Linked DNA regions of Anolis sagrei. The protein of the gene in region 4 binds, or shares a complex with, the protein of the main gene of each other region. Links are inferred from orthologs where the notes say so. Each region holds a gene or a part of one and is shown on either strand. Other genes may lie near its edges. The genes, in order: STX4, STX18, BET1L and VAMP7.

Evidence for each region.
Region 1: VAMP7 (region 4) and STX4 share a complex: the UniProt entries of both Homo sapiens proteins name them as parts of the SNARE complex. The link is inferred for Anolis sagrei from reciprocal best matches to the Homo sapiens genes VAMP7 and STX4.
Region 2: VAMP7 (region 4) and STX18 share a complex: the UniProt entries of both Homo sapiens proteins name them as parts of the SNARE complex. The link is inferred for Anolis sagrei from reciprocal best matches to the Homo sapiens genes VAMP7 and STX18.
Region 3: VAMP7 (region 4) and BET1L share a complex: the UniProt entries of both Homo sapiens proteins name them as parts of the SNARE complex. The link is inferred for Anolis sagrei from reciprocal best matches to the Homo sapiens genes VAMP7 and BET1L.

The regions. Positions count from the first base shown.
Region 1 is NC_090026.1:14,722,423-14,730,088, reverse strand, and holds the start of STX4 (syntaxin-4), read right to left. Parts: upstream 3,068-7,666; 5' UTR 2,965-3,067; coding exon 2,935-2,964; intron 1-2,934. UniProt on the Homo sapiens protein: Plasma membrane t-SNARE that mediates docking of transport vesicles. Necessary for the translocation of SLC2A4 from intracellular vesicles to the plasma membrane.
Region 2 is NC_090025.1:106,541,759-106,549,911, forward strand, and holds the start of STX18 (syntaxin-18), read left to right. Parts: upstream 1-5,116; 5' UTR 5,117-5,186; coding exon 5,187-5,372; intron 5,373-8,153. UniProt on the Homo sapiens protein: Syntaxin that may be involved in targeting and fusion of Golgi-derived retrograde transport vesicles with the ER.
Region 3 is NC_090021.1:237,756,740-237,764,190, forward strand, and holds the start of BET1L (BET1-like protein), read right to left. Parts: upstream 3,060-7,451; 5' UTR 2,975-3,059; coding exon 2,956-2,974; intron 1-2,955. UniProt on the Homo sapiens protein: Vesicle SNARE required for targeting and fusion of retrograde transport vesicles with the Golgi complex. Required for the integrity of the Golgi complex.
Region 4 is NC_090030.1:14,746,391-14,754,623, forward strand, and holds the start of VAMP7 (vesicle-associated membrane protein 7), read right to left. Parts: upstream 3,409-8,233; 5' UTR 3,295-3,408; intron 3,241-3,294; exon of another isoform or gene 3,131-3,240; intron 1-3,130. Other genes in the region: DNA-directed RNA polymerases I and III subunit RPAC2-like, read left to right, coding at 3,517-3,561, 7,856-7,953. UniProt on the Homo sapiens protein: Involved in the targeting and/or fusion of transport vesicles to their target membrane during transport of proteins from the early endosome to the lysosome. Required for heterotypic fusion of late endosomes with lysosomes and homotypic lysosomal fusion.

The DNA.
Region 1 (7,666 bases), on a different chromosome or scaffold from region 4:
TTAATCCCACAAACTACATTACATTTTTATATTTAATAGATTAATTAATTATACAAATTTGGTGTCAATTCGCCCAGTGTTTTTTGAGTTATGTTAATCCCACAAACTACCATTACATTTTTATTTTTTATAGATTAATTAATAATACAAATTTGGTGTCAATTCGCCCAGTGTTTTTTGAGTTATGTTAATCCCACAAACTACCATTACATTTTTATTTTTATAGATCAATTAATAATACAAATTTGGTGTCAATTTGCCCGGTGTTTTTTGAGTTATGTTAATCCCACAAACTACATTACATTTTTATATTTTATAGATTAATTAATTAATAATACAAATTTGGTGTCAATCCGCCCAGTGTTTTTTTGAGTTATGTTAATCCCACAAACTACCATTACATTTTTATTTTTATAGATTAATTAATTATACAAATTTGGTGTCAATCCGCCCAGTGTTTTTTGAGTAATGTTAATCCCACAAACTACATTACATTTTTAATATATTAATTAATTAATACAAATTTGGTGTCAAAATTTGGTGTCAATCCACCCTGTGTTGTTTGAGTTATGTTAACCCCACAAACTAACATGACATTATTTATATAGATTCACAACCACCTCCTTTCCTTCCATTTTTGTGGCTACATTTCATGAGGAGAGACTTCAACTCAAGACTAAATATAGATCATTTACATCTATATATATAAATTTGTTAGGGGCATCCAACGGAGAAACAAAACTCAAAAAACCCCCAACGAAACTTAACCAAAATTCCCATGCCCATAACACAACCCACAAGGTACAAACATATCTACTCAAAATGAAAAACAACACAACAACACACTCACAAAACGGCAAAACAACAAAACTCAAAAATCCCCCAACGAAACTTAACCAAAATTCCCGTGCCCATAACACAACCCACAAGGTACAAACATATCTACTCAAAATGAAAAACAAAACAACAACACACTCACAAAACGGCAAAAGAACGAAACTCAAAAAACCCCCAACAAAACTTAACCAAAATTCCCATGCCCATAACACAACCCACAAGGTACAAACATACCTACTCAAAATGAAAAACAAGACAACAACACACTCACAAAACGGCAAAACAACAAAACTCAAAATTCCCCCAACGAAACTTAACCAAAATTCCCATGCCCATAACACAACCCACAAGGTACAAACATATCTACTCAAAATGAAAAACAACACAACAACACACTCACAAAACGGCAAAAGAATAAAACTCAAAAAAACCCCAACGAAACTTAACCAAAATTCCCATGCTCATAACACAACCCACAAGGTACAAACATATCTACTCAAAATGAAAAACAACACAACAACACACTCACAAAACGGCAAAACAACTGAGCATGCACATTGGCGCCCAGCCGCAAGTTCCCTGGCGCGTGCACATGGCCTTCCGGCCAACGTTCCCTCTGCCCACTCCAAGCCCCGCCGCGCCGCTTCCCGCACACACACACCCCCTGCCGCACACACACACACAACCCCACACTCCATCACTCCCCCCGCCGCCGCACACACACACGCAACCCCACTCCCCCCGCCGCCGCACACACACGCGCAACCCCACACTCCATCACTCCCCCCGCTGCCGCACGCACACACGCAACCCCACTCCCCCCGCCACCGCACACACACACGCAACCCCACGCTCCATCACTCCCCCCGCCGCCGCACGCACACACGCAACCCCACTTCCCCCGCCGCCGCACACACACACGCAACCCCACGCTCCATCACTCCCCCAGCCGCCACACACACACACGCAACCCCATGCTCCATCACTCCCCCGCCCCAATCTTACCTCCTTTTACTTCACACCACCTCCAAACCCCACCCCGCCCCTTCCTGCCCTGTCAAAATCTAGGAAAGACAGGAAGGAAGGAAAGAAGGAAGAAAGAGAAAGGGAGGTAAAGAAAAAGGGGGAAGGAAGGAAAGTTAGAGAAAGAAGGAAGAAGAAAAGGAAAGAAAAGGAAAGATGGAAGGAAAGAAAAGAGAGACAGCAGAAAAGAAAGAAACGGGGAAGGAAGGAAAGAGATAGAGAAAGAAGAGGAGAAGGAAAGATGGGAGGGAAGGAAGGAAGGAGGGAAAGAAGGAGAGAAAGAGGGAAGATTGGCCACATTTCTATTATTATTATTACTATTATTATTATTATTATTATTATTATGCTATTGTTCCTATGAGACCCTAGGGGAATGGGAGAGGTGTCAGGTCCCAGAGGCAATGCATTGCATTATTGTTATTGTTATGATGGTGGTAAAATAAAAGGAAATAAAAAGTGAAAGAAGGAAGCAAATAGGGAGGGAAGAAAGGCAAAGGAAGAAAGGGGGAGGGAATGAAGGAAAGAGAAGGATGAAACCAAGTAGTGAAAGAAAGAAAGAGGTAGAGAAGGAAGAAAGGAGAGAAAGGGGGAGGAAAAGGGGGAAGGAATAGGTAGGGACCTCTCTTTCATAATAGTCCAGATATCTACCTCAACTTTGATAAGTTTTACTATAGGCCACAGCAACGCGTGGCAGGGCACAGCTAGTTTATTATATTTAGGTTACTTTAGGGGTTACAACTTTGTTAGGCACTAAAAAAAAAGAAAGGGGAAGCCCAGGAAAGCAACACTATTGTCATGGGAGGATGAAAAAGAGGCAGAAATAAGGGCCAAAAAAAGATGGAGGAAAACAGAACACCCCCTCCTCCCAACGGAGGGAGTGTGACAGGAACAGCCAACGAAGCAGAAATATACGGAGGGGGAAGGGGGGGATGAACGGAAGAGCGGAGTCCCCTCGCGCCACCAAGAGAGGCGGGGCCTCAGCGACCGTTGTGGGCGTGGCCAGGCGCGCGGGGGAGAAAGAGGGCGCGCGTGCGGATTGCGGGGGGGAGGGGGAGGGGGTGATGTGCTCCTTACCTCTCTGAGCTCGTGCGTTCGGTCCCTCATCTTCTTTTTTTTTTTTTCTCACAACTCTGTGAGGAAGCGGAGTGAAGGGGGAGGGGTTGGAACTAGAAGGGAGAGCACAAGGCTGCGCATGCGCGCGCTCTGTTCTCAAATCTGTTTGGCGCTCCTCGCTCCGCCCTCCTCCCGGAGCTATAGACAGGACATCTCCGTAGTGCGCATGCGCTGTGCCATTTTCGCCTCTGGAGAAGCCAGTTCCTCTTTTTCCTCACAGTCGACGGGAAGATGAGGTGCGGCCCGGAGGCGTTAAAAGACTCCAAAGCCGTGTGTTTATGCTATTACGGAAACGATCCTCAATCAATTTTCCCCCCCACCTTTCACATTAAGAAGTTGCTTCAATGGAGTAATTATTTTAGGGTTTAAAAACAGGAAGTGACGTCAGGCGTATACATTGAAAGCTCATCTGCAATATGTCCGCTGCCGGATGTTGTCACTCCACCGGATGTCTTTTTTTTAATTCATCGGTAATGAGTGCCATAGGACAGGCATAGAGCAAACTTGGGCCCTCCAAGTCCTTTGAACTTATAGAATCAAAGAGTTGGAAGAGACCTCATGGGCCATCCAGTCCAACCCCCTGCCAAGAAGCAGGAATATTGCATTCAAATCACCCCTGACAGATGACCATCCAGCCTCTGTTTAAAAGCTTCCAAAGAAGGAGCCTCCACCACACTCCGGGGCAGAGAGTTCCACTGCTGAACGGCTCTCACACTCAGGAAGTTCTTCCTCGTGTTCAGATGGAATCTCCTCTCTTGTAGTTTGAAGCCATTGTTCCACGTCCTAGTCTCCAGGGAAGCAGAAAACAAGCTTGCTCCCTCCTCCCTGTGGCTTCCTCTCACATATTTATACATGGCTATCATATCTCCCAGTCACTTGAAGTGACTGGACTGACCTTGAAGGAGCTGGGGGTGGTGACGGCCGACAGGGAGCTCTGGCGTGGACTGGTCCATGAGGTCACGAGTCGGAGACGACTGAACAAATGAACAACAACAACAACATCATATCTCCTCTCAGCCTTCTCTTCTTCAGGCTAAACATGCCCAGCTCCTTAAGCCGCTCCTCATAGGGCTTGTTCTCCAGACCCTTGATCATTTTAGTCGCCCTCCTCTGGACACATTCCAGCTTGTCAATATCTCTCTTGAATTGTGGTGCCCAGAATTGGACACAATATTCCAGGTGTGGTCTAACCAAAGCAGAATAGAGGGGTAGCATTACTTCCCTGGACCTAGACACTATGCTCCTATTAATGCAGGCCAAAATCCCATTGGGTTTTTTTGCCCCCACATCACATTGTTGGCTCATGTTTAACTTGTTGTCCACGAGGACTCCAAGATCTTTTTCACACGTATTGCTCTCAAGCCAGGCATCCCCCATTTCGTTTTTCCTGCCAAAGTGGAGTATCTTGCATTTGTCACTGTTGAACTGTTGAACTTCCACAATTCCTAACATGAAGAGTGAAGGGGGGGGGGGGGGCAGGGGTCAGTTCCACCTTGTCTCCTGTTCTATGCTTATGTAATATAATATATTGTATATAATTGTATATAATATATTGTATATAATGTAATATAATGTAATATAATAATACAATATATAATATATTGTATATACAAGGTGAGGCAGCATAACTTCCTTTTTTCAATCCTCCAAGGTTGAGGGGTGTGCTGTCGCATGCTGGGCCTGTGCATAAGACTGTAGACAGGACATAAATTCCGTGTGCCCAACGGGACGCCGGGGCTGCCTCAGATTAAAGGCCCTTGGATTCCCCCAAACAGAGTCTTTAGATTGCTTAAAGGTTCAACAATGTTCTTTATTAATGAAAACAAACAGGTATTTCAAGGCTTTCTTAACAGTCTATTGGCTCTTTCAATCTTGTCCACAGGGAATAGGCACTATCTTCATGACGTATTTTATCTAATGGGGAAATCCTTAACTTCTAATCTGGGCAGTGTTTCTTTGCCTCTGTTGGCGTGGAGCCCTTACACCTGGTACCAACTGCGTCTGGCTTCCGCGAGTGACCCTTACCAAGAAGAGCTTTGTAGACTTCCAGGGAAAAAGGAGTTCAGGTTTCAGTTATGGCTGGCTGAAGTCCTTCAGCAAAGGAGCTGTAAGGCTGTAAAATCCTCAGCCAAGCTGTGAGGCCTTTTCTCCCCGGCCAAGCTGTAGGCTGTATATCTCCCCGGCCAAGACGTAAAGCTGTATATCTCCCAGCCAAGCTGTAGAAGACGAAGCTTTCTACAGGAGCTCTTGGTATTCTGTCCTGTGAAAGGCTTCTCTGTGTGGACTGAACCAAAAAGGCTCCTATTCCCTCCAAAACCCCAAAAAGGGGGCGGGACCAGGGAACCTAACTATAATTGACAGGTGGCTTGCCCTATGATTGCAGCCAAAAGAAGCCACCTATCTGCAGAGTCCCTGAAACTTGGGACTATAACAAAGCAAACAAAATTGGAGCTCTTGGAACAGCTGTTCCAGAACAATTCCTAACATAAAGAGTGAAGAGAGGGGGGCCAGGGGACAGTTCCACCTTATCTCCTGTGCTATGCTTATAATATAATGTCATATAATGTATTGTAGATACAAGGTGAGGCAGCATAATTTCCTTTTTTCAATCCTCCGAGGTTGAGGGGTCTGTTGGATACTAGGAAAGTGAGGTTAATATGTAATGCAATATAATACTACTACTACTACTACTAATAATAATAATATGGCATTATAATTATATATTTATATTTCATGGAATACAGGGTGCAGCAGCATAACTTTCTTTTTTAAAACTTAATAAAACTCATTGTATGAATCAGAATTTTTTAAATAATAATTTTTATTGAATTTTTTATATAATAACAGAATTTGAATCAGAATTTTTTTTCATAATGTAGGCGCATACCTAAAGTTTTGTTTCACGTAGTTTTGAAAATCAAATTAGGTAGGTGACGTCCCCCATTCTCCATACACTGAGTAAACCGATTTCTGGCGTTTGTCATTACTCTTGCCAGCGTAGCAGGAGTTACGTTGGCAATTTCTTCCTGGATGTTGGTCTTGAAATATTGTAGGGTCCTTGGACGGTTCACATAAACACGGGATTTCAAAAAAACCCATAGAAAAAAATCACAAGGGGCCAAATCTGGAGAGCAGGCCAGCCACTCCAAATCCGCTCGAAAAGTAGGCCTCAACGGCAAAATCACGCTCCTCACTGTTCCAATGCATGATGGCGAATGAATTGTGTCAGGACAAAACTTTATACCCGCCCAGGGCCGTACCCAGAAAATTTCAGGGGGGGGGGGGGGGTTGAAACCTGCCTCCTAGCTCACGCTGAAGCAAAGAGCACAGCAGGGGCAGAGCAGCTTTCAATAGCCTGCAGCTCTGCCCCTGTCAACCACCTCCACCAAGTCTGGCCTCCTTAATGAGAGCATTCAACACCCCCCCCCCCCAACTTGGTTGCTGCGCTACATCAGCTAATGACAGTGTGAATAAATTGTCGATATTTGTTTGAGATAGTGCTTGCAGTTCTGGAGGGACTCTTAATTTTTTGCGTCTCATAGACTTAGCATGGGGATTTGGTTAACCAGTTAAAATTAATGAGTAAACCAAGTTTTTTTTTACCTGAAAATTTTTTGGGGGGGGGGGTTAGGGGTTCAGGCTTGCTCCCGCCTCTCGCTCCGCTACATTTTTAACTGCATTTTAAAAAAGGAAGTTATGCTGCCTCACCCTGTATATATATTTATAATATTGTAATGTAATACAATATAGTACTAATAATCATATACAGGGTTAGTCAAAATGCATAGGCCAATAAGCCATTCAATTGAATGGCTTATTGGCCTATGCATTTTGACTAACCCTGTATTATAATTATATATTTTATATTACATGTAATATTACTAATATTACAATATAATGGTATAGTACAATAGTATATAGTAATATATAATACTGATATTGTACTATGCTAATAATATAATATATTGTATGTATATATATCTTGTTAGCTGCTCTGAGTCCCCTTCGGGGTGAGAAGGGCGGCATATAAATGTCGTAAATAAATAAATAAAAAATAGCAGCCTCAGGCGCCTTCCTTTTCCTGCAGCTGCAGCTGACGGGCAAAAGGAAGGGGCCTGAGGCTGCTAGAAATTGTGGGAGTTGAAGTTCAAAACACCGGGAGGGCCCAAGGGTAATAGTATGATAGCTGGTTGCGGAAGCTCCGAGTGTTATGGAGATGCTGCATCGCAACATAGACTAAGCTAATGTAAGCCAGGCCGGAGACAGATAATATAGAAGGATTCTAAGAGTTCTTTAACGGTGAAACCCTAATCCTTACCCCAACCCTGAACCGCACCGTAAACCTAACCCCTTGTTGTTCATTCGTTCAGTCATCTCCGACTCCTCGTGACCTCATGGACCAGCCCACGCCAGAGCTCCCCTTACCCTAACCCAAACCCTAAACTTACCCTAACTGTAACCCCTAACCCATACCCAAACCTTAAACCTTGCCCTAACCCTTACCCCAAGGGTCTTCTCCTTTCTATCCTTCCTTTGCTCTCCCCGTTCTCACTCCGTCCCCTCTTCCCTTATTCACAGCCGCCTTTGCAGCATCTCCGTAATGCTTGGAGCTTCCGGACCCAGCTATTATACTATCACCAGCCCAAGTTTGCCCATGCCTGCCTTAGGGCTAAGTGGTTGTTTAGAAAAATTA
Region 2 (8,153 bases), on a different chromosome or scaffold from region 4:
ATATTTTTCAGTTCAAAGCAGATATTGTCGGATTTTATTCAGCTGTGTGGAAGGGGCCCAAGTAATAACCAGACCCAACACTGCATAGCTTCCAATGATGGGCTGCTTACTGTAGCCAATTTTTTTTTTGTGGTGTCAGGAGCGACTTGAGAAACTGCAAGTCGCTTCTGGTGTGAGAGAATTGGCCGTCTGCAAGGACGTTGCCCAGGGGACGCCCGGATGATTTGATGTTTTTATCATCCTTGTGGGAGGCTTCTCTCATGTCCCCGCATGAGGAGCTGGAGCTGATAGAGGGAGCTCATCCGCCTCTCCCCAGATTTGAACCTGCGACCTGTTGGTCTTCAGTCCTGCTGGTACAGGGGCCTAACCCACTGCGCCACCGGGGGCTCCTTGTAGCCAAATGAATACTGATAAGAATCACAAATACCAACTAGTAGCATGGATTTTTTTTTAACCTTGGACCCATTCTGGATCTATTTTAGCATAGGACACATTTCGTTCTGGAGAAAGGCATACACACACCACCCTATGCAACAGCTATTTATATTACACTGTTTTAATCAAGTCACAACTTAAAAACAGTTCAGATGATGTAGCAAAGATTATTTGTTATCCTTACCTGGCAACTCAGTAAGGTGGCCTGTGGGTAGAGAAAAATAAAATAAAATGGTCTGGTTTTCAACGAGATCAAATTGTGAGGTCGTTTTTTCAATTCTTTGACTTCTGTTAACAGGGCTCCACATTTTAAGCATCAGAAGAACTTGAAATTATTTTCTTTTAACTTGGTGATCTATTAATGGAAATTGCTGTGAAGATAAGTCAACTTGGCAGAAGACTATTTAAGTTTGCAGGAAAATAATACAGAAGATGCCATCCTGCTGCTGGTTAAAAGCCAAAGAGTGTGTAATATGGCTCTGTTTTTTTCTTCTCTTCAACTAAAGTCTAAATATCCATTTAACTTCTAGGAGAAAAGGGGGTAGCTAGTATGTCATTCCCATCCAGTCAAATATCTTTCCCTGCCGTTTGAACCCATTGCTCCCTTGTGCCCTGGTCTCTAAAGCAGCAGGAAATCCTCAATGGGACACCTTCTGGAATCTTGAAACATGGTTCTCATGCTCCCACTCTACCTTCTCTTCTCCCAGCTAAACATCCACCCAGGAGGAAAGGAGGAAGGAAAAAGAGAAGGGAGGGAGGAAGAGATGATTGGAAGGAAGGTTGGAAGGGAATGGTTGGAGGGAGGGAGGGAGAGAAGGGAGGGAGGAAAGACAAAAGGGAAGGAAGGAGAAAGAGAGGAGGGAGGAAAGAGGGAAGGAAGGAAGGATGAAAAAATGGAAGAGAAGGAGGGAGGGAGAAAAGGGTAAAGAAGGAAGGAAGCGAGGGAGCGAAGGATAAGACAGTGGGAGAGAGGAGGGCCTGAGAAAAAAGTCCAAGGGGCTGCATTTGGCCCCCAGGCATGGGTTTATCCACACCTGGTCTGACACATCACCTCTTAACTTTCTCTTCTCCAGTCTAAACATACCCGGCTCCCTAGGCTGCTCCTCATAAGGTTTTGGCTTCCAGGCTACTTTTGGTTCCTCTCAATAACAATATCCTTCTTAAATTGTGGTGCCTAGAACTGGACGCATTATTCCTGTGAGGTCTGATCAAAGAGTGGAGTCAATAAAATAGATAAAACAAGACAATCATTTCCCTCAATCTGGGCATTATACTATTGATGCAGCCTAGAAAAGTATTGGTTTATTTAGCTATCACACCACACTGTTGACTGTGTGGAAGGGGCCATAAAAAACACAACAAAATCCCTACAAATCAGGGTTTACTAAATTGCTATTGAATACACAGGGCATGGTTTTAATGTTGTTTTGTTTAACAAATAGCTGTAAGGAACTTTTGGCAGCTAAATAGGCAGACATTTGCAGGCAGTGGCCTCTTCTGGTGGCAAAGGAAACCAACTCTCAGATCAATAAATGCAACAATTTTTATACAGCAGCACCTTTTGCGCTAAGAGTGCCTTGGACTGCGAGAAGATCCAACCAGTCCATCCTCCAGGAAATAAAGCCCGACTGCTCACTGGAGGGAAAGATACTAGAGACAAAGTTGAAGTACTTTGGCCACATCATGAGGAGACAGGAGAGCCTAGAGAAGACAATTATGCTGGGGAAAGTGGAAGACAAAAGGAAGAGGGGCCGACCAAGGGCAAGATGGATGGATGGCATCCTTGAAGTGACTGGACTGACCTTGAGGGAGCTGGGGGTGGTAACGGCTGACAGGGAGCTCTGGCGTGGGCTGGTCCATGAGGTCACGAAGAGTCGGAGACGACTGAACGAATGAACAACAACAACAACCTTTTGCGCAGGGAGCACGTTCCCAATGATACTATGAAACAAAATTTGGGAGTAAAAAATCTGTTCTTGGTTTGAAAGGGTTATTTCCTTAATTGTGCGGTACTTACTTTGAAGTAAGACTTTGATGCAGACTGCAGCCAGAAAATCAGATGCTTACTTCTTGGGAGGAGAGCAATGACCAATCTTGATAAAATAGTGAAGAGTAGAGACATCACACTGGCAACAAATATCCTCATAGTAAAAGCAATGGTATTCCCCGTAGTCACCTATGGATGTGAGAGCTGGACCTTAGGGAAAACTGAGCCAAGGAAGATAGATGCTTTTGAATTGTGGTGTTGGAGGAAAGTGCTGAGAGTGCCTTGGACTGTGAGAAGATCCAACCAGTCCATACTTCAGGAAATAAAACCCAACTACTCATTGGAGGGAAGGATATTAGAGGCAAAGATTAAGTACTTTGGCCACATCATGAGAAGACAGGAAAGCTTAGAGAAGACGATGCTGGAGGAAATTGAAGGAAAAAGGAAGAGGGGCCAACCAAGGGCAAGATGAATGGATGGCATCGTTGAAGTAACTGGCTTGATCTTGAAGGAGCTGGAGGTGGTGATGGCCGACAGGGAGCTCTGGCGTGGGCTGGTCTATGAGGTCACAAAGAGTCAGAAGAGGACTGAACGAATGAACAACAACAACATACTTTGAAAGTAGTTGTTATACCCCAGAAACTTTGTTTTTGTGGCTGCCACAAACAATGTTGAATTGGTTGAGACTGGATGAGAGAGTCATTGAAAAACCATAGCAAAATGTGCTGCAGGATAACATGCAAACACAAAGTTTTGTCTGTTTAATAAAAAAAATCTCATTTTCTTATGATAGAACCAATTCGGAAATGGCATTTATAACCCAGGAACAAAAATCGTGTTGCATAGTGAAATCTCCTTGGGATTCACAGCTGTGAATATGGCATCGCGGGAGAGAAGTGTCCTTAGGAGGGCGACTAAAACAATCAAGGGTCTGGAGAACAAGCCCTACAAGGAGCAGCTTTCACTTTCATTACACCCAAGGCTTTTTCACTCTTAACACATACAGATTTTCAGGGAAGTCATGCTACCTGTCTATTCTGCCTTGGTTAGACCACATCTGGAATACTGTGTCGAATTCTGGGCACCACAGTTGAAGGGAGATGTTGACAAGCTGGAAAGTGTCCAGAGGAGGGCAACTAAAATGATCAAGGGCCTGGAGAACAAGCCCTATGAGGAGCGGCTTAAAGAGCTGGGCATGTTTAGCCTGAAGAAGAGAAAACCGAGGAGACATGGGTTGTTGTAGGTTTTTTCGGGCTATATGGCCATGGTCTAGAGGCATTCTCTCCTGATGTTTTGTCTGCATCTAGGCAAGCATCCTCAGAGGTAGTGAGGTCTGTTGGAGCTAGGAAAAAGGGTTTATATATCTGTGGAATGACCATGGTGAGACAAAGGACTCTTGTCTGCTGGAGCTAGGTGTGAATGTTCCAACTGACCACCTTGATTAGCATATAATGGCTTGACAGTGCCTAGAGCAAACTTTTGTTGAGAGGTGATTAGATGTCCTTGTTTGTTTCCTCTCTGTTGTTGTGCTGTTGTAATTTTAGAGTTTTTTTAATACTGGTAGCCAGAGGAGACATGATAGCCATGTATAAGTATGTGAGAGAAAGTCATAGGGAGGAGGGAGCAAGCTTGTTTTCTGCTTCCCCGGAGACTAGGACGCGGAACAATGGCTTCAAATTACAAGAAAGGAGATTCCATCTGAACATTAGGAAGAACTTCCTGACTTTTTTTTTTATTTCGTGTCAGGGCAGCCAGTCAATTATATTACATTTCTAACAGAACAAAGCAAACAAACAGAGAAAATACAAAATTTGTGAGTTTGGTAGTTGATTAAATGTCCTTTGACCAGTATCTGGCCACTTGGAGTGCTTCTGGTGTTGCTGCAAGAAGGTCCTCCATTGTGCATGTGGCAGGGCTCAGGGTGCATTGGAGCAGGTGATCTGTGGTTTGCTCCTCTCCACATTCGCATGTCAAGGATTCCACTTTGTAGCCCCATTTCTGAAGGTTGGCTCTGCATCTCGTGGTGCCAGAGCACAGTCTGTTCAGCGCCTTCCAAGTCGCCCAGTCCTCTGTGTGCCCAGCGGGGAGTTTCTCATTTGGTATCAGCCATTGGTTGAGGTTCTGGGTTTGAGCCTGCCACTTTTGGACTCTCGCTTGCTGAGGCGTTCCAGCGAGTGTCTCTGTAGATCTTATAAAACTATGTCTGGATTTAAGTCGCTGACGTGCTGGCTGATACCCAAACAGGGGATGAGCTGGAGATGTCTCTGCCTTGGTCATTTCACTTCCTGACTGTGAGAGCTGTTCAGCAGTGGAACTCTCTGCCCCAGAGTGTGGTGGAGGCTCCTTCTTTGGAGGCTTTTGAACAGAGGCTGGATGGCCATTGTCGGGGGTGCTTTCAATGCAATTTTCCTGCTTCTTGGCAGGGGGTTGGACTGGATGGCCCACGAGATCGCTTCCAACTCTATGATTCTATGATTCTAGGTGAGAATCATGCCATGCTTCAAAATGAGATGCAGGAAGAAAGCAGTCCAAACATCTTTGGGGGACGAGATTACTCCACTACAGGAAGTCCCTACAGGAAGTGAGAGGTTGCCAAGGAAACGTTTTATGAGACATGTCAATTTCAGACAGGGCGAGGGCGTCACCAAGAGGGCACTCAGTGGAGGCGGAACCTTCGGGCGCGGCCCAGTTGCGAGAGGGAAGGCTTTGAGGAAAGGACGCGTGGGCAGGAGAGGCCCGCCCACCTGCCCGCCTCAGCCCAGCCATGGCCGTGGACATCACGCTGCTGTTCAAAGCCAGCGTGAAGACGGTGAAGACCCGGAACAAGGCGCTCGGGGTCCCGCTGGGCGGCAGCGGAGGCAGCAGCAGCGACTCCTCCCGCGATGAGGCCCTCCTCATCCTCAAGCGCTCCCGGCCAAGGAGCGACTTTTCCAACCGGGCCCGGGAAGTGGTGAGTCCTCAGGAAGGAAGGAAGGAAAGCTAGCAGGGAGGGAAAGCAGGAAGGCTGCGACGTGGCTCTGGGCTCCTTCCGGGAGATTTTAGGGGAGAGAACATAAAAAGGAGTCTCAATCCTATTGAAAGGAATGACATTTGGGAATCAGTCATTGAACCCAATGGGATTTCCTTGTGAGAAAGTCAGCTTAAACCTCAGAGCCCCTCCAAACAGCTGTATGGCCCAGAATATCAAGTCAGATAATCCACAATATCTGCTTTGTACTGGATTATATGAGTCCACACAGCCATATAATCCAGTTCAATATGGATTTTATATAGCTGTGTGGAAGGTGCCTCAGGGCCCTTCCACAAATCCCTATATCCCGGAATATCGAGGCAGACAATCCCACATTACCTGCTTTGAACTGGGTTATCCGAGTCCACATTCCGATAATGTGTGATTTTCTGCTTTGATATTATGGGTTATATGGCTGTATGGAAGGGCTCTTAGAGGTTTCTCATTACATTTTTGCAACATACCTATATGCATAGGCAAACACTTGTGGCTGAATATGAGAATATAATATTAATAATAATAAACTTTATTTATACCCCGCCACCATCTCGCCAATGGTGGAGCCCCTAGTGGCGCAGTAGGTTAAACCCCTATCTGAAGGTTGACAGGTCGCAGGTTCGAATCGGGGAGAGGCGGATGAGCTCCCTCTATCAGCTCTAGTTCCTCATGCGGGGGACATGAGAGAAGCCACCCACAAGGATGATTTTTTTTTTTGTCGTGTCAGAAGTCGCTTCTGGTGTGAGAGAATTGGCCGTCTGCCAATTTTTTTTGTCACATCAGGAGCGACCTGAGAAACTGCAAGTTGCTTCTGGTGTGAGAGAATTGGCCGTCTGCAAGGACATTGCCCAGGGGACACCAGGATGATTTGATGTTTTTATCATCCTTGTGGGAGGCTTCTCTCATGTCCCCGCATGACAAGGATGATAAAAACATCAAATCATCCTGGTGTCCCCTGGGCAATGTCCTTGCAGACGGCCAATTCTCTCACACCAGAAGCAACTTGCAGTTTCTCAGGTCGCTCCTGACATGACAAAAAAAAATATCCCCAATGAGGACTCGGAGCGGCTTACATGAGGCAAGCCCAAACAACAAATTACAATAAAATAAAACCAAAAACGCAAACAATAAACAACAGCAACATAATTACATAGAACATGTGAAAAACATAGCAATATAAAATTACAGTAGGCACAATCACAATGACAGTGGGCGGATTACATGTAATGGTTAAAAGAGAGACTGATTAAAAACTGATTAAAACTCAGGTGAGATAAGAAAGAAACAGATTATTTGCAGAGGAGGGCTCATTATAGTGGTGGTTGTGGGATCAGGCTTTCCCACAAGGGAGGGCATGTACTCTAATGACAAAGTGTTGATGCACTAGTATGAAGATGTAAACCTATTCATCAAAAGCGCAGCGGAAGAGCCAGGTATTAAGGTTCTTTTTATGATTGTCTTCTGGAGACAGAGCCCCCTTCTAAACTGCCATATAAAATCCAGATTATTTGCTTTGAAATGGATTATATGGCACTGTACACTCATATAATCCAATTCAAGTCAGATGATGCGGATTATTTGCATTGACAATCTGGATTATGTGGCAGTGTAGAAGGGGCCTCATATAATCCAGTTCAAAGCAGGTAATGTGGATTTTATATCGTAGCCCTTCCACACAGCCCCATATCCCAGAATATCAAGGGTGAAAATCCCACTATATCTGCTTTGAACAGGGGGCCCTTGCACAAAGCCCTGTATCCCAGAATATCAAGGCAAAATAAATAAATAAATAAATCCCACGTTATCAGAGTATGGACTTGGGGCCCTTCCACACAGCCCTATATCCCAGAATATCAAGGCAGAAAATCTCACAATATCTGCTTTGAACTGGGTTATCTGAGTTCACACTCAGATAATGTGGGATTTCCTGCCTTGATATTCTTTGATATAGAGCTGTGTGGAAAGGCCTTAAGTCTGTCATTTATGTGTTCACAAGAGAGGTGTTGAAGCTTAGTAGGGAAGATGGACCAACTACCACAGTTCAGATATGCATTTCCGTATCACATTTCTCTTGGTGTTTTCCACTTTTTCTGTAGTTCTTAGGTGAGTTTGAAATCGGCATAGAAGGAAGCAGTGTCGGTGTGTGACTGATTACATTGGAAACACTGGAACTGGTTTGACACCTGTATAGTAATTTCATATAACGCAGAGGTTGACCGTGAACCAGTTCTAGGATCCACAGTATCTGTGGGACTTGATAAATGCAGAGAATGTGGGGGGTTTTTTTTTCAACCCTCTCCACCGGAATGTACATCCTTCGATCAGCAGAGTGTTTTGGGTTTCTGCACAGTGATTCCCATTCTACGAAAGGGGTTTTCTGTGAAATGTGGTTTACACTAGAGTGTGCTTATGTGCATTAAGGACTTTATTTTGGACTTTCCTCTGACTGTAGTGAGCTTGATTTAAAGCCCTTAAAGTGCACTGAGGTATGCCTTTGAAGTGTGTGTAGCCTAACCACCACACACTGAAGAATGGTCAGTGTAGATCTGTCCTTAGGCTCATTTGCTATTTTATTTGTATGTGTATTGGTGCTGGTGGTGAGGATCTCTTTCTACTTGATATTGATAAAGCATCAATACAGGTTGAGCAGCCTTGACACAAAATGCTTAGAACCAGAAGTATTTAGATTCTGCCCCCCACCCCAATTTTGGAATACTTATATTT
Region 3 (7,451 bases), on a different chromosome or scaffold from region 4:
TATAACTTCTCCATTCTTTTTAATCTTGTGAGCCATCATGAGACCCAGTTTCAGAAGCAAAGTGCCATACTTTGCAGTATTTTTACAGGAATAAGGAAATTCACAATAGATGAAGTCAAAGGACCACATGCAGCAGAAACCACCAGCAAGACCTGAGTACAACTCCATCTCACAAGCCCCAGCGATGGACACACGGCAACCCAAAGTAGCAGCCATTGATGGCTCCTCCCTCTTTGAATATATGGAAACCCTCTTTCAAGCCATTCCAGTAGCAGCCATGTCTACATCATGTTGCAGTGAGTTTCAAAGTTTAACTGTGAAACTCACTGCAACATGATGTAGACATGGCTGCTACTGCTAATGGATTCATGCTCTGTATAGACATGGTGCATGTGCTAATGGATTCTTGCTCTGTATTCACAGCCACAGAACACAGCATTTTCCCCAGTATGTGGAAAAATTCCCATTGCCGTCATAGAAAGTCATGCTGGTAGTTTACATGCATTTCAATAAAAACAGTGTCTCATATAACCATTTTATATTCTTTAATGCCACACTCTTTTTCTACTGCTGTCCAGCCAGGATCCATAATTGGAGAACTTTGCTTAACCCCATGTAACCACCATTATTACTATTACTATTATTATTGCTCTTCTTCTTCTTCTCCTCCTCCTCCTCCTCCTCCTCCTCCTCCTCCTCACCAATACCCCGCTTTATCTCTCCCAAAGGAGACTCAAAGTGGCTTACATTAAAAGTATGACCACATAATTTTAAATATAAAAATATGCAAATATTAAAACAGAATTAAATGTAACAGTATTAAAAAAAATCAGTTTCCACACATAACCACCCAAAATGAAAGCAGAACAAATGGAGAAACCAATAATGGAAATACAGGGTTGGAATATCCCTTATTCATAAATCCCCAAATCCAATCTCAGCACAATGGCTGAGAAAGTAACATCTTTGTTTTTTCTAAGGGTTCAATATGTCCAACCTGGTTTCACGCACAAAATTATTTTAAAAAAAATCTTTGTATATAAAACAACCTTGAGGCTATATATGCATGTATGAATCATAAATGAATGTTGTGGGTGTCACATCTCCATGATGTCTCATTACTGATAGGCAAGGATTTTAGAATCTGAAAAAATCCAAAACACAGCCATCCCAAACATTTTGGGGAAGGACAGAAGTCCACTGAAATAAGAAAGTAGCAAGACATTTGCTTTCTGATGGATCAGTATATACGAACTTTGCTGCATGCCTGAAATTCTTTAAAACTGTTTATGAAAGGACTCTTAGGCTATGTAAAGTTATTCTTAACTTGTAGCCTTCCTTTTGATTGTAAGGATAGGAATAAACAATAAATAAATAAGCCAGTGACTCAACAAATTAAGCAAAGTTTTTGAATACTGTTTATATTTAATCCTGTTTTAATGTTTGTATATTTGTAAATGTTTATGCTGATGCTTTTATATTGAGTTGCTTTGAGCTGCCTTCAAGGGAGATAAAGCAGGGTATAAACAAACATAACCACAATAATAATAATAATACTAATTGTATATTTGTAAAAGATTATGCTGATGCTTTTATGTCAAGCTGCTTTTAGTCACCTTTGGGGAGATAAAGTAATAATATATTATAAGTAACAAGTAATAATATAAGTAATATAAGTAATAATAGCAACAACAACAATACTTGTATATTTTAAATGGTTATGCTGATGTGTTAATGTCAAGCCACTTTTAGTTGCCTTCGGAGAGATAAAATGGGGTATAAATAAACATGATTTTTTTTTGTCGTGTCAGGAGCAAGTACCTTCTGTTGTGAGAGAATTGGCTGTCTGCAAGGATGTTGCCCAGGGGATGCCTGGATGATTTTGATGTTTTTATCATCCTTGTGGGAGGCTTCTCTCATGTCCCCGCATGAGGAGCTAGAGCTGACAGAGGGAGCTCATCCGCCTCTCCCCAGATTCGAACCTGCGACCTGTCGGTCTTCAGTCCTGCCGGCACGGGGAGGGGGGGTTTAACCCACTGCGCCACCGGGGGCTCCTTAATGATGATGATGATGATGATGATGATGATGATGATGATAATGTATCATAAATGAATGCAAAGACTCTGGCACAAGCCAGTAAAGGTGGTCCCAGTGGTGATCGGCACACTGGGTACAGTGCCTAAATACCTTGGCCTGCACTTAAAAACAGTCGGCGCCTACAATATTACCATTTGTCAGTTGCAATAGGCCACCCTACCTGGTTCTGCATACATTATTTCCTAATACATCACACAGATACTTGGGATGTGTCTGAAGTGTAATCAAATACAAAAGCCAGCACAGCGTTCTTGCTTGCTGTGCACTAATCTTTTTGTGTATCAAATAATAATGTATAATAACATATATACACATATATACAAATGAAGCAAATGAATGTCCTGTTTAGCTTTTGAGTCCTATCTCTAGGATACCTAATTTAATATAGGTGAATATGCCACAATCCAAAATACTTCTGGTCTCAAGAATTTCCGGCATGAATAATTCCTTTTCTTTTTATTCAGTGGGTCTACACTTGTGAACTAATGCAGTTTGAAACAGATTCAACTGCCATGACTCAATGCTATGGAGTTAAGATGGGCAATACTGTGCCTGACTCACTATTTCAGCTGTCAAAGGGCATTTCTGTGAAAGAAAACAAAGGAGACGTGGGGGGAGAACCATTTAAAGCAGGCCTGGGCCACCTTCGGCCCTACAGGCTGTTAGGAATGGTGGGAGTTGAAGCCCAAAACACCTGGAGGGCCCAAGTTTGCCCAGGCCTGCTTCAACGGGAAGGAGGGCCCTCTCCCCAAAACAAAGGGAAGGCTTAACTAGGGCAGAACGAAGGGCGCCCACTCTCCTCCTCCCTCCGAGGCCTACCGCCTCCCCTCAGACACCGCTCCCTCCCTCCCTTCCTACCTCGGCCCCAATCCGCCATGGCTGCCTCTTGCCTCCGTGTCCCATCCGGAGCCAAGGCGAGAGGCGGTGCCAAGGAGGGCAATCGATCTGCAAACGAACCAATCAGGGAAGAGGGCAAGGAGGCCGTGGGGCGGGGATTGGATAAGCGCCTCCCCCGAGAGCGGAAGAGTGCGGCTTAGACCGCCATTTTTCCAGAGGGCATGCTCCCTGAGTGGGAATGGGCCGCCATGTTTCTTGAGGGCAGGAACAGGAAGTGGCTGCCCTTTGGATTCTCCGCCTCGGGCATCCAAGAGCATTGGCCCCGCCCCTGTTTGTGACGTAGGTTGCTGCCTCTGTAAGGTTTACAGAATGATAGAGCTGGAAGGGAACCCTAGAGGCTATCCAGTCCAGCCCCATTCTTGGCAAATTAATTACAAAAAAAATAAACTATAAAAAGGGGGAACCAAGTTTCTTGGTTTCTCTTCTGTCCTTACACAAATCTGGTTTCTTCCCCCCCCCCCTCTAAATATCTTCTGTCCTGCCTGTCTTGGAGTGCATCTACCAGGCATGGGCCAACTTGGGCCCTCCAGGTGTTTTGGACTTCAACTCCCACAATTCCTAACAGTACCTAACAAAATCAGCACTGTAAATGAAGAACAACACTCAAAAACAGGGGAGTTTCTTGTCTGGAGACAAGAAACAATCAGGACCAGCTAATCACCTCCCAACAAAGGATTCCCCCAGGCAGTATGAAGCCAGACCTTGAAACAGCTAGGCCACTGAATACTAACCAAGGTAGTCCATTGAAACATTGAAACGTTTTTTCTCCCACTTTGGACATTCCACATAAACCCCATTTTCCTAGTTTCCTCTTGTCTGTTTGAGCCAAGTGTGAATGTTGCAATTGGCCAGCTCGATTAGCATCAAATAGCCTTGCAGTTTCAAAGCCTAGCTGCTTTGCCTCACGCAGACAAGAGTTCTTTCTCCCACCCTGGACATTCCACAGAAACCCCATTTTCCTAGTTTCCTCTTGTCCATTTGAGGCAAGTGTGAATGTTGCAATTGGCCAGCTTGATTAGCATCGAATAGCCTTGCAGCTTCAAAGCCTGGCTGCTTTGCCTCACACAAAGCAGACAAGAGTTCTTTCTCCCACCTTCCACCCTGGATATTCCACAGAAACCCCATTTTCCTAGTTTCCTCTTATCTGTTTGAGGCAAGGGTGAATGTTGCAATTGGCCATCTTCATTAGCATTGAATAGCCTTGTAGCTTCAAAGCCTAGCTGCTTTGCTTCACACATGCCTCAAGCAGACAAGAGTTCTTTCTCCCACTTTGGACATCCCACAGAAACCTCATTTTTCTAGTTTCCTCTTGTCTGTTTGAGGCAAGGGTGAATGTTGCAATTGGCCATCTTGATTAGCATCGAATAGTCTTGCAGCTTCAAAGCCTGGCTGCTTTGCCTCACACTTGCCCCAAGCAGACAAGAGTTCTTTCTCACACCTTGGACATACCACAGAAACTCAATTTTCCTAGTTTCCTCTTGTCCGTTTGAGGCAAGTGTGAGTGTTGCAATTGGCCAGCTTGTTTAGCATCAAATAGCCTTGCAGCTTCAAAGCCTGGCTGCTTTGCCTCACACTTGCCCCAAGCAGACAAGAGTTCTTTCTCCCACCTTGGACATTCCACAGAAACCCTATTTTCCTAGTTTCCTCTCGTTTTTTGATGCAAGTGTGAATGTTGCAATTGGCCAGCTTGATTAGCATCGAATAGCCTTGCAGCTTCAAAGCCTGGCTGCTTTGCCTCACGCAGACAAGAGTTCTTTCTCTCACTCTGGAGTATCCACAGATATATAAACCCCATTTTCCTAATTTCCAGCAGACCCCACAACCCTTGAGGATGCCTGCCATAGATGCAGAGGGAACGTCAGGAGAGAATGCTGCTGGAACATGGGTCCTACAGCCCGGAAAACTCACAGCAACCCAGACTTTAGCATCCTCTGCCAAAGAGTGCTGGTGTCCTCCGGCAACTGGCGCCCCCTCTTGGCTGCCTTTCCTTCCTTTTGGCTTCCCTTTCTTGTCCTGGGGGAAGGAAGGAAGGAGGAGGCAGCAGCAGGGAATGAGGCGAAGAGACTGACTTCCCACCACAAGCAGCTCGGCTGCAAAGGAAGGTACAAGCCGCCCTTCCCCTTCCTGGGGTTCCCTTGGGTTCCCCAATAAATGGGGTGGCTGGGCTTGCTGGGAGGAGGGTTGCATACTGATATGATCCCAATCACGATGATCATAATATGTCACTTTGTATCTTGGATTAAGGAAACCAGATTGGGAAATGTTTCCTAACCACTCCCCTTTTGTAAAGGTAGGTAGATATCTGGGCAAGACTGGAATCCAATGGGTTTTTGGAGGATGTAAACAAGGCTTGGCTAAATGAAACCTTGGATGCGCGTACACTTTAGAAGAAATCCAGCTTGACACCACCTTAAATGCCATCACTCAATGCTCTGGAACATGAGAGTTGTAGTTTGATGAGGCACCAGCACTCCCAGGCAGAGGAAGCCTTATAAAACTACAGCTAAAGTGGTGTCAAACTGCATTATTTCTACGGTGTAGATGTTATGGATGGCGTGATTTTAATGCTGAATGTAATTTTTTAAATTTTTAAATTATGTATTCATTTTAATTCAGTGGATTTTAAGCTTAATGTTTGTATGTCTCCTATGCTATGCTAATAATGTAATATAATGTAACATATTGTATATACATATAATATTTATAATATTATAATGTAATGCAATATAATACTACTATTAATAATATGATATTATAATTATATATTTATATTACATGTAACATTACTAATAATATTACAATATAATGGTATAGTACAATATAGTAATATTTTAATATTGTATATACATATAATATTTATAATATTATAATGTATTGCAATATAATACTAATAATAATATATTATAATTATATATTTATATTACATGTAATATTACTAATCATATTACAGTATAATGGTATAGTACAATAAAGTAATATTTAATATTGATATTGTACTTTGCTAATAATACAATATATTTTATGTATATATATCTTGTAAGTGGCTCTGAGTCCCCTTTGCAAATAAATAAATAATATGTGTTTAAAGCATTGAATAATTACCATATGTTGGCTGCCTTCAATCCCCCTTGGGGTAGAGAAAGATGATATAAATAGGGTAAATAATTAAATACATTATTGATTCTTGTGAATTCTTTGTGATGCCAGAGTTATATTTTCATATTAGATATAATTTAAATTAATTTTAAGTGAGTTGTTTGTTTAATTTGATATGTGGTTGTAAACTTGATTTATGTGCATTTTAAAGTGATATACATTCACTTTTTTGGGATTTGGGCGGTTTGTTAATGCATTTGTATTTGTTATTCTTATTGTATAGGCATTAAATGTTTTGTTTTCCTTCTGTTGTTGGAATCTGCCCTGAGTTCTCTAGGAATACAAATAAAGCTATTATTGTTGTTGTTGTTGTTGTTGTTGTTGTTGTATTGTTGAAGGCTTTCATGGCTGGAATCACTGGGTTGTTGTAGGTTTTTCAGCTGTATGGCCATGTTTTAGAAGCATTCCCTCCTGACGTTTTGCCTGCATCTGTGGCAAGCATCCTTAACCTCACAGCCCAAAAAACCTACAACAGCCCATTATTATTATTATTATTATTATTATTATTATTATTATTGTCATCCCAGGTCTGATTCCAGACCTACATTTTTGTTCATAACAAGTCCAGGCTTGACTTGTGTAAAATATTAAATAATTTCTGAATATCTGTTTCTGCTAGTGCACTCAACAATGTTTATATTGACCCCTATAGGGGAAATACACCTGCTGAGTTGCATCTCTTACCTGAAATTCTGAAATACTCCAAATTTGAAAATAGATGGCCAAGAGACTGGCATCTCTGCTTTTTGGTAGTTCAATGCACACAGACTTCAAACAGATTTAAAATATGTGTGACATTATCTTCAAGCTATGTTTATAAGGCAGGCATGGGCAATCTTCAGCCCTTCAGGTGTTTTGGATTTCAATTCCTACAATTCCTAGCAGCTGGTAGGCTGTTAGGAATTGTGGGAGTTGAAGTCCAAAATACCTGGAGTGCTGGAGTTGGCCCATGCCTGCTATAAAGTATAAATGAATTAGGTGTTTAGATTTTGGGCCCATCTTAATATATGTCTTAATCAAATGTATATGCAAATATCCCAAAATCTGGGGGGGGGGGGGGGGGATCCAAAACACTGTAGCCTCAGACATTTTGGATAAGGGAAGCTCAGTCTATTACCAAATTACAGAATATGTACCAATTTATGCAAAAGTGTTGATCATAGAATCATAGAATGATTGAGTTGGAAGAGACCTCGTGGGCCATCTAGACCAACCCCCTGCCAAGTAGCAGGAAAATCACATTCAAAGCATCTCAACAGATGACCCATTCTTCTTGAAAGCCTCCAAAGAGGGAGCCTTCA
Region 4 (8,233 bases):
AGAATTAACACTGACATATAACTATAAATTTAAGCCATTAAAACTATTAAACATAGGCATATACAACATGTAAACACTAAGATAAAGCATCAAAAACATCCTCATATAAATATTAAAATCACATGATCCAAAAAGATGGTAGAATCCAAGCATGACAACAAGTCACAATCTTGACTCTAGGCCAAACTGACAACGTAATTTTGAAGGTCTCCTCCAGCTCCCAAATACCATAAACAGAAGTCACACTTGGCAAATGGTTTTTTTAAAAACTAGGGCACATGATCCAATGGCAGCCCTTGCAGTAAGAAAGTTTCTTAAAGGGCAAGGAATCTTAGCTTCCTATTATGCCTCTTGCTTCTTGTATAAAACTATTCAAGAAAGCAGAAGTGTATTAATGCAATCCTAGCCACATAGTTTGCCAAAGGGAAAATCGGTTGCTCCTTGCCCAAGTTGCTCCATCCAGAAAAGGCTTTTTAAAAACCTTCTTAGCTTATACTACGGTACTAATTATTTATTGTCTACTCACATTACTTCCATTTTATATCCCCTTCAGGCGCTAACCTTACACAAAAGAATAGTCACTGTGACTTTTCAAATGTAATCTCTTCAAGACATTATGTTCTAGGATGGCACTTTATTTTGTCAAAGAAGATTAAAAGATACAGGTCTTTCTGCAGCACAGGAGGATGAGAATGGTCCTCCTGTGCTGTTGCGCAGACTTCGCAAAGTATGTAGTAATCACATCAGGGCTTTTTCTCCAAATGTTCTGTGAACCTTCCATACAGACACCTAAAATCTTGCCTTACAATGTTAACTGGTTTTAATCGCTGATTGAGTCAACTACGTGACCCACTGTGTTTGTGCACTTAATACAAGGGTATCTTTTGTTTTCTCTGCTGAAGAATCAGCAGAGAAAAGCTTTTGTTTTACTGCAATGTTTTTGAAACACCAAATAGATATGAGAACCTATTAGTATGTAAGGTAAAAGCCATCCCTGGGTTCCATTTGAGGTTCTATGGTTGATGTCTGCTAGAAGTTGATCAAAGAATTGTACTCGAAGAGCTAGAGATTTCTAGAGAGAAACATCAAATATAATCCATGAACAATCAAATCTGCAAAAGTCAAAACCACCAAGGGCCCCATCACACTAGCCTTTAAGGACTGCAATTTCATAGGACATTAAGGGAAACATATCCTAAAGGCACTAGAGTCTGTCTGATCTTGGAAGCGGAATGGTTATGATCTAGAAGGGAGACTGCCAAGCACTACAGATGAAATCACCTCTGATCACTCCTTGTCTGAGAACTCCTCAAGAAATCTATGGGGTGGTCATAAATTGACAGTTGATACACATTCAGAGAGCTACAGCACTTTTCCAAATTACAAATCCAAGGATGATACATACTGCATCCTAGGAAGACAACTGCCCGGAGTCCCCTTGGAAAGAGGGGGCTGTCTAGAAATAAAGCATTATTGTAATTACTGTTACTATTATATCCCAGGGCAAAAAGTATGCACCCTGAGGCAGGATAATATGAATCTACACTACCGCACAATCCAGTTCAAAGCAGACAATCTGGATACAGAAACTGGATTATATGGCAGTGGAGATGAGACCCACAAGAGCATTAAAGAGGAGGAAGCAGAGACAAGTGTTATCCTCTTCAAGAAAAAAGGAGAAGCAACATTAAGAAAAGCGCTGAGAAAGAAAGGCTGGGAAGCTTGACCAGGGCCCTTTCCACACAGCTGTATAAAATCCACATTGAACTGGATTATATATATGGCAGTGTGGACTCAGGGCCCTTCCATACAGCCATATAATCCAGAATATCAAGGCAAAAGATCCCACCAAATTTCCTTTGAATTGGGATATCTGAGTCCACACTTCCATCTATTCCAATTCAAAGCAGATAATGTGGGATTTTATTCAGTTGTGTGGAAGGAGCCTCGGTTATATTGGGAGTCCATACTGCCATATATCCCAGTTCAAAGCAGAAAATGTCAGATTTTATTCAACTGTGTGGAAGAGGCCTCAGATAACCCACTTCAAAGAAGATATTGTGGTATTATCTGCTTTGATATTCTCGGTTATATGGCTGTGTGGTAGGCCTGCGTCTATGCTAGTATATAATCCAATTCAAAGCAGATATTGTGGGATTATCTGCCTTGATATTCTGGGTTATATGGCTGTGTGGTAGGCCTACGTCTATACTAATATATAATCCAATTCAAAACAGATATTGTGGGATTATCTGCTTTGATATTCATGGTTATATGGCTGTGTGGTAGGCCTACGTCTATGCTAGTATATAATCCAATTCAAAGCAAATATTGTGGGATTATCTGCTTTGATATTCTCGGTTATATGGCTGTGTGGTAGACCTACGTCTATACTAGTATATAATCCAATTCAAAGCAGATATTGCAAGATTATCTGCCTTGATATTCTGGGTTATATGGCTGTGTGGTAGACCTACGTCTATACTAGTATATAATCCAATTCAAAGCAGATATTGTGGGATTATCTGCTTTTATATTCTCGGTTATATGGCTGTGTGGTAGGCATACGTCTATGCTAGTATATAATCCAATTCAAAGCAGATATTGTGGGGTGATCTGCCTTGATATTCTGGGTTATATGGCTGTGTGGTAGGCCTATGTCTATGCTAGTATATAATCAAATTCAAAGCAGATATTGTGGGATTATCTGCTTTGATATTCTGGGTTATATGGCTGTGTGGTAGGCCTATGTCTATACTAGTATATAATCCAATTCAAAGCAGATATTGTGGGATTATCTGCCTTGATATTCTGGGTTATATGGCTGTGTGGTAGGCCTACATCTATACTCGTATATAATCCAATTCAAAGCAGATATTGTGGGATTATCTGCCTTGATATTCTGGGTTATTTGCCTTGTGTGGTAGGCCTACATCTATACTCGTATATAATCCAATTCAAAGCAGATATATGGCTGTGTGGTAGGGGCCCGAGTCCACACTGCCATATAACCCAGTTCAAAGCAGATATTGTAGGATTTCCTGCATTAATATTCTGGGTTATATGGCTGTGTGGAAGGACACAATTGAGAAGGAAAGGAGGAAGGCTTCAGTCAGGCCTAACCCTTTACCTGAGGGTGGGGGCGTTGCTATAGCAACAGTGGCCTAGTCCGAGGCTTCACTACCACCAAGGAGGCAGGTCTCCTCCCTCAGCGGCAACCAAGCCTCCTATTTGGTGAGAACCGCCGTTCCGTCTCTTCCCCTCTCCTTCTCCCCGGCTTTTCCGCCTCCTCACCTGGCCAAGCGCCCGCCCGGACCCTCCAGGCCCCGTCCTGTAATCGACAAGCTTCCAGGACAAGCCAGCAGCGCGTGAGCTTCCGCCCCTGGCCGCAAAGGCTCCTGGGAAGCCGAGTTCGGACGCCGGGGAAAGACAGGAAGTGACGACAAGAGCGAGGCCGGAAAGCTGCCAGTAGACAACACAAACCGGAAGTGTTTCTCGTCTGTTTCTGAGGGAAAGATGGGCGAGGAAGAGGAGAAGAGGAAGCCCCCGTCTCTGCAGATGGTGAGGGAGGGCAGTGTGACTCCTGTCTTCACCTTTTAGTGATGTACAGTATCTACATGTGACTTTCCTTTCTCTGAACCATGCCTTCCATATCAGAATGTGTGTGTGTGCTGTCGCACGCTGGGCCTGTGATTAAGACTGTAGACAGGACATAAATTCTGTGTGCCCAACGGGACGCCGGGGCTGCCTCAGATTAAAGACCTTTGGATTTCCTTAAAACAGAGTCTTTGGATTGCTTAAAGGTTCAACAAAGTTCTTTATTAATGAAAACAAACAGGTACTTTAAGGCTTTCTTAACAGTCTATTGGCTCTCTCTCAGTCTTGTCCACAGGGAACAGGCACTATCTTCATAACTGTAACTAATGGGGAAATCCTTAACTTCTAATCTGGGCAGCCTGTCTTTGCCTCTGTTGGCGTGGAGACCCTGGCTTCCGCGAATGACCCTTACCAAGCAGAGCTTTGTAGACTTCCAGGGGAAAAGGAGTTCAGGTTTCTGTGATGGCTGACTGAAGTCCTTCAGCAAAGGAACTGTAGGGCTGTATAACCCCAGCCAAGCTGTGGGCTGTATATCTCCCCGGCCAAGCCGTAGAAGACGAAGCTTTCTACAGGAGCTCTTGGTATTATGTCCTGCATGAAAGGCATCTCTGTGTGGACTGACCCAAAAAGTCTCCTATACCCTCCAAAAACCCAAAAAGGGGCGGGACCAGGGAACCTAACTATAATTGACAGGTGGCTTGCCCTATGATTGCAGCCAAAGGAAGCCACCTATCTGCAGAGTCCCTGAAACTTAGGACTACAACAAACATTCAATGCAAAGCAAACAAAATTGGAGTTCCTGGTACAGTTGTACCTGCACAGTGTGTGTGTATCAGGCCTGGGCAAACTTGGGCACTCCAGGTGTTTTGGACTTCAGCTCCCAGTATTCCTCACAGCCTCAGGCTTAAGCGGCTGAGGGGGAAATGGAAGGGGCCTGAGGTTGTTAGGAATGCTGAGAGTTTATTTCTTTATTTCTTTATTTAGAACATTTAAATACCACCCTTCTCACCCCGAAGGGGTCTCAGAGCGGCTTACAAGATATATTTTCATACTATTATTAGCATAGTACAATATTAGTATTATATATTACTATATTGTACTATACCATTGTTCAAGTATTAGTATTATATATTACTATATTGTTCTATACCATGTTCAAGCTGGGTTTAGAAAAGGCAGAGGAACGAGAGACCAGATTGCCAATATCCGGATGCTGGATAATGGAGAAAGGCAGGGAGTTTCAGAAAAACATCTATTTTTGCTTCATTGACTACTCTAAAGCCTTTGACTGTGTGGATCATAATAAATTGTGGCAAGTTCTTGGTGGGATGGGCATACCAAGCCACCTTGTCTCTCTCCTGAGGAATCTGTACAAGGACCAAGGAGCAACAGTCAGAACTGACCATGGAACAACAGACTGGTTCAAGATTGGGAAAGGCGTACGGCAAGGCTGCGTACTCTCACCCAACCTTTTTAACTTGTATGCAGAACACATCATGCGATGTGCGGGGCTTGAGGAATGCAAAGCTGGGGTGAAAATTGCTGGAAGAAACATTAACAACCTCAGATATGCAGATGACACCACTTTGATGGCCGAAAGCGAGGAGCTGAGGAGCCTTCTATTCAAGGTGAAAGAAGAAAGCGCAAAAGCTGGATTGCAGCTAAACATAAAAAAAAACCAAGATCATGGCAACAAGAATGATTGACAACTGGAAAATAGAGGGAGAAAATGTGGAGGCCGTGACAGACTTTGTATTTCTAGGGGCAAAGATTACTGCAGATGCAGACTGTGGCCAGGAAATCAGAAGACGCTTACTTCTTGGGAGGAGAGCAATGTCCAGTCTCGATAGAATAGTAAAGAGTAGAGACATCAGACTGGCAACAAAGATCCACCTAGCCAAAGCCATGGTATTCCCTGTAGTAACCTACGGATGTGAGAGCTGGACCTTAGGGAAGGCTGAGTGAAGGAAGATCGATGCTTTTGAGCTGTGGTGTTGGAGGAAAGTTCTGAGAGTGCCTTGGACTGCGAGAAGATCCAACCAGTCCATCCTCCAGGAAATAAAGCCCGGCTGCTCACTGGAAGGAAGGATACTAGAGACAAAGTTGAAGTACTTTGGCCACATCATGAGGAGACAGCAAAGCCTAGAGAAGACAATGATGCTGGGGAAAGTGGAAGGCAAAAGGAAGAGGGGCCGACCAAGGGCAAGATGGATGGATGGCATCCTTGAAGTGACTGGACTGACCTTGAAGGAGCTGGGGGTGGTGACGGCCGACAGGGAGCTCTGGCGTGGGCTGGTCCATGAGGTCACGAAGAGTCGGAGACGACTGAACGAATGAACAATGTTTTAAGGGCACTGTTTCATTATCTGGGCAGAGGCTACAAGGGGGCGATAGAGAGAAAAGGATAGTCCATTTTATGGGAGTGGAGGGCCCCCCAACTGATGACATATGGAGGAGACAAAATGGAACTGTCCCCTGCCTCCCCCCTTCACTATGGCCCAGAGCGGCAGTTGGTGCTGGGGGGAGGGGTTCCTAACTGATCACATATGCAGGAGACAAGATGGAACTGTCCCCTTCCCCCCCCCCCATCTCTTCACTCTGGCCCAGAGCGGTAGTTGGTGCTGGGGGGAGGGGGTCCTCAACTGATCACATATGCAGGAGACAAGATGGAACTGTCCCCTGGAGTTGAAGTCCAAAACACCTGGCAGGTCCAGGTTTGCCCATGCCTGATAAACATGGTTGAACAGAAGCTCTCCGAAGCTTTAGATGTTTTTACAACTCTGAGGATTACCTGCGAAAGAGTCCCACTAGAGCATTGCAGCACACCCAAATACCTGGGAGTTACTCTGGACTTACAAGAAGCACTGGCAAAAAATGGGTGCTAGAAATATGCAGGTGGACCAAAAAGTTTTGCCTCCTGCATCATAAAAATGTTATAAATGAACATTTAACAGCAGAAGTTGCTCCAGATCATAGCCTGAACTGTCCTCTATCCAAACTATTATTCAGCATGGTCACCATCAATTTGTACACATTTGCACCAGAGATATACAGAAACCACATCCTTAGATGCTGCTGTATGCCAAAGATGTTATGTTAGCCGCCGAGTCATGGGTAGAGTTGCAGACTCAAGTGCAAGTGTGGAAAAATCATGTGCAATATTTCGGACTACAGCTTAACATCTCAAAAAAGTACATGGAATGTGGACCAACAGTAGAGGATGGCTCCATCAATATCAAGGGGACTGACCTCAACAAAGTGACCAGCTTTAAATCCCTCGGCTCAAAGATAACCTCTGCCTGCGAAGTACTGTCGGATGGTCACGGACATGTAAACTCCATATGGATGAAGTGGAGAGCAATGACAGATGTAATGTGTGATAAGAAGATCCCAATCCACCTAAAATTGAAAATCTACAGGACGGTGGTGAGACCAGTCGCTCTATACACCACTGAGTGTTGGCCAACCACTAAGGCAGTTGAACAAAGTCTGGTCACCTTCAATGGGTGTTAACCTGAAGGACAGGTTTCCAAACAATACAGTGCACTCCATCTTTGGCAGTTTAATAAACTTTTTGATAAATTGGATATGGCAGTGTTAACTCAGATAACCCAGTTCAAAGCAGATATTGTGAATTATCTGCCTTGATATTCTGGGTTATATCAGAAGCAGACAGAAGGTGGCAGCAGAACAGAGCAGCTGCTGAGACAGAAGACAGCCCGGAGCACCAGAGAAAAGGCAGAAAAATGTCTTGATGAAATTAATGACATACTATCAATTAATATACCTAAAATCCAAATATAGCACTTCTATTAAATTTTGGAGACATAAGATTGAAATGGCAGAATAAAGAATTAATAGTAATTTTTGTTATTGCTTTAAGATTAGAAAACTGTCTTGAGACCTGCCTTGAGAAGGGGACAAAGCTCAGGATTCCCACCCAAACAGCCTGAGCAATTGGCAAATTTGTGTTTTTTTTAATACATTATAACTTTATTCTCAATTTGCTTCTAACATGATAAATAAGTCTGAGCAGTATTTCTCATCCAATGCTGGCGGTTCATAGCTACTTAAGAAGGCCTGCATCCCATGCCATTGTTCAGCCATGAGTCCCCAGCCCTCCCCATTATTGTAGACACTGGGCTAAGAAGCTGTATCTCCATGAAAAGCAACATGGCCTGTACATAGAAGAAGATGTGTTACTTCCATGGAATGGTTTTGGGGAAATGAATGTCCTCTTCCTCTGCTGTTCCCACAGGTACGAACTGAAGGCTCAGATAAGAGCTGTGTCACCTTTGTGCTCCACAATGAGGACCACACTCTTGGCAACTCTCTCCGGTACATGATCATGAAAGAGTAAGTATGTTTCTTCTTAATGAAGTGCCTATTAAATTAACAACAGAAGAACTTTTCTGTCAGGAATCACAGCTTGGATTGGGCCATAGATCCTTAGAAACAGCCTTTCAGCATGACCAACAATAGTTTGGAGATTCTGAGACCCAAATAAGTAATTTTCCCATTATTTTTTTATAAACATGAAAGAAAATTAATGTTTGGTAAAGTGTTCTGCCTCCGATTCCATTTTATGGCCCCATTGGTCTTAAAATAGGAAGCCTTTCTTCTACTGATTTGGTGG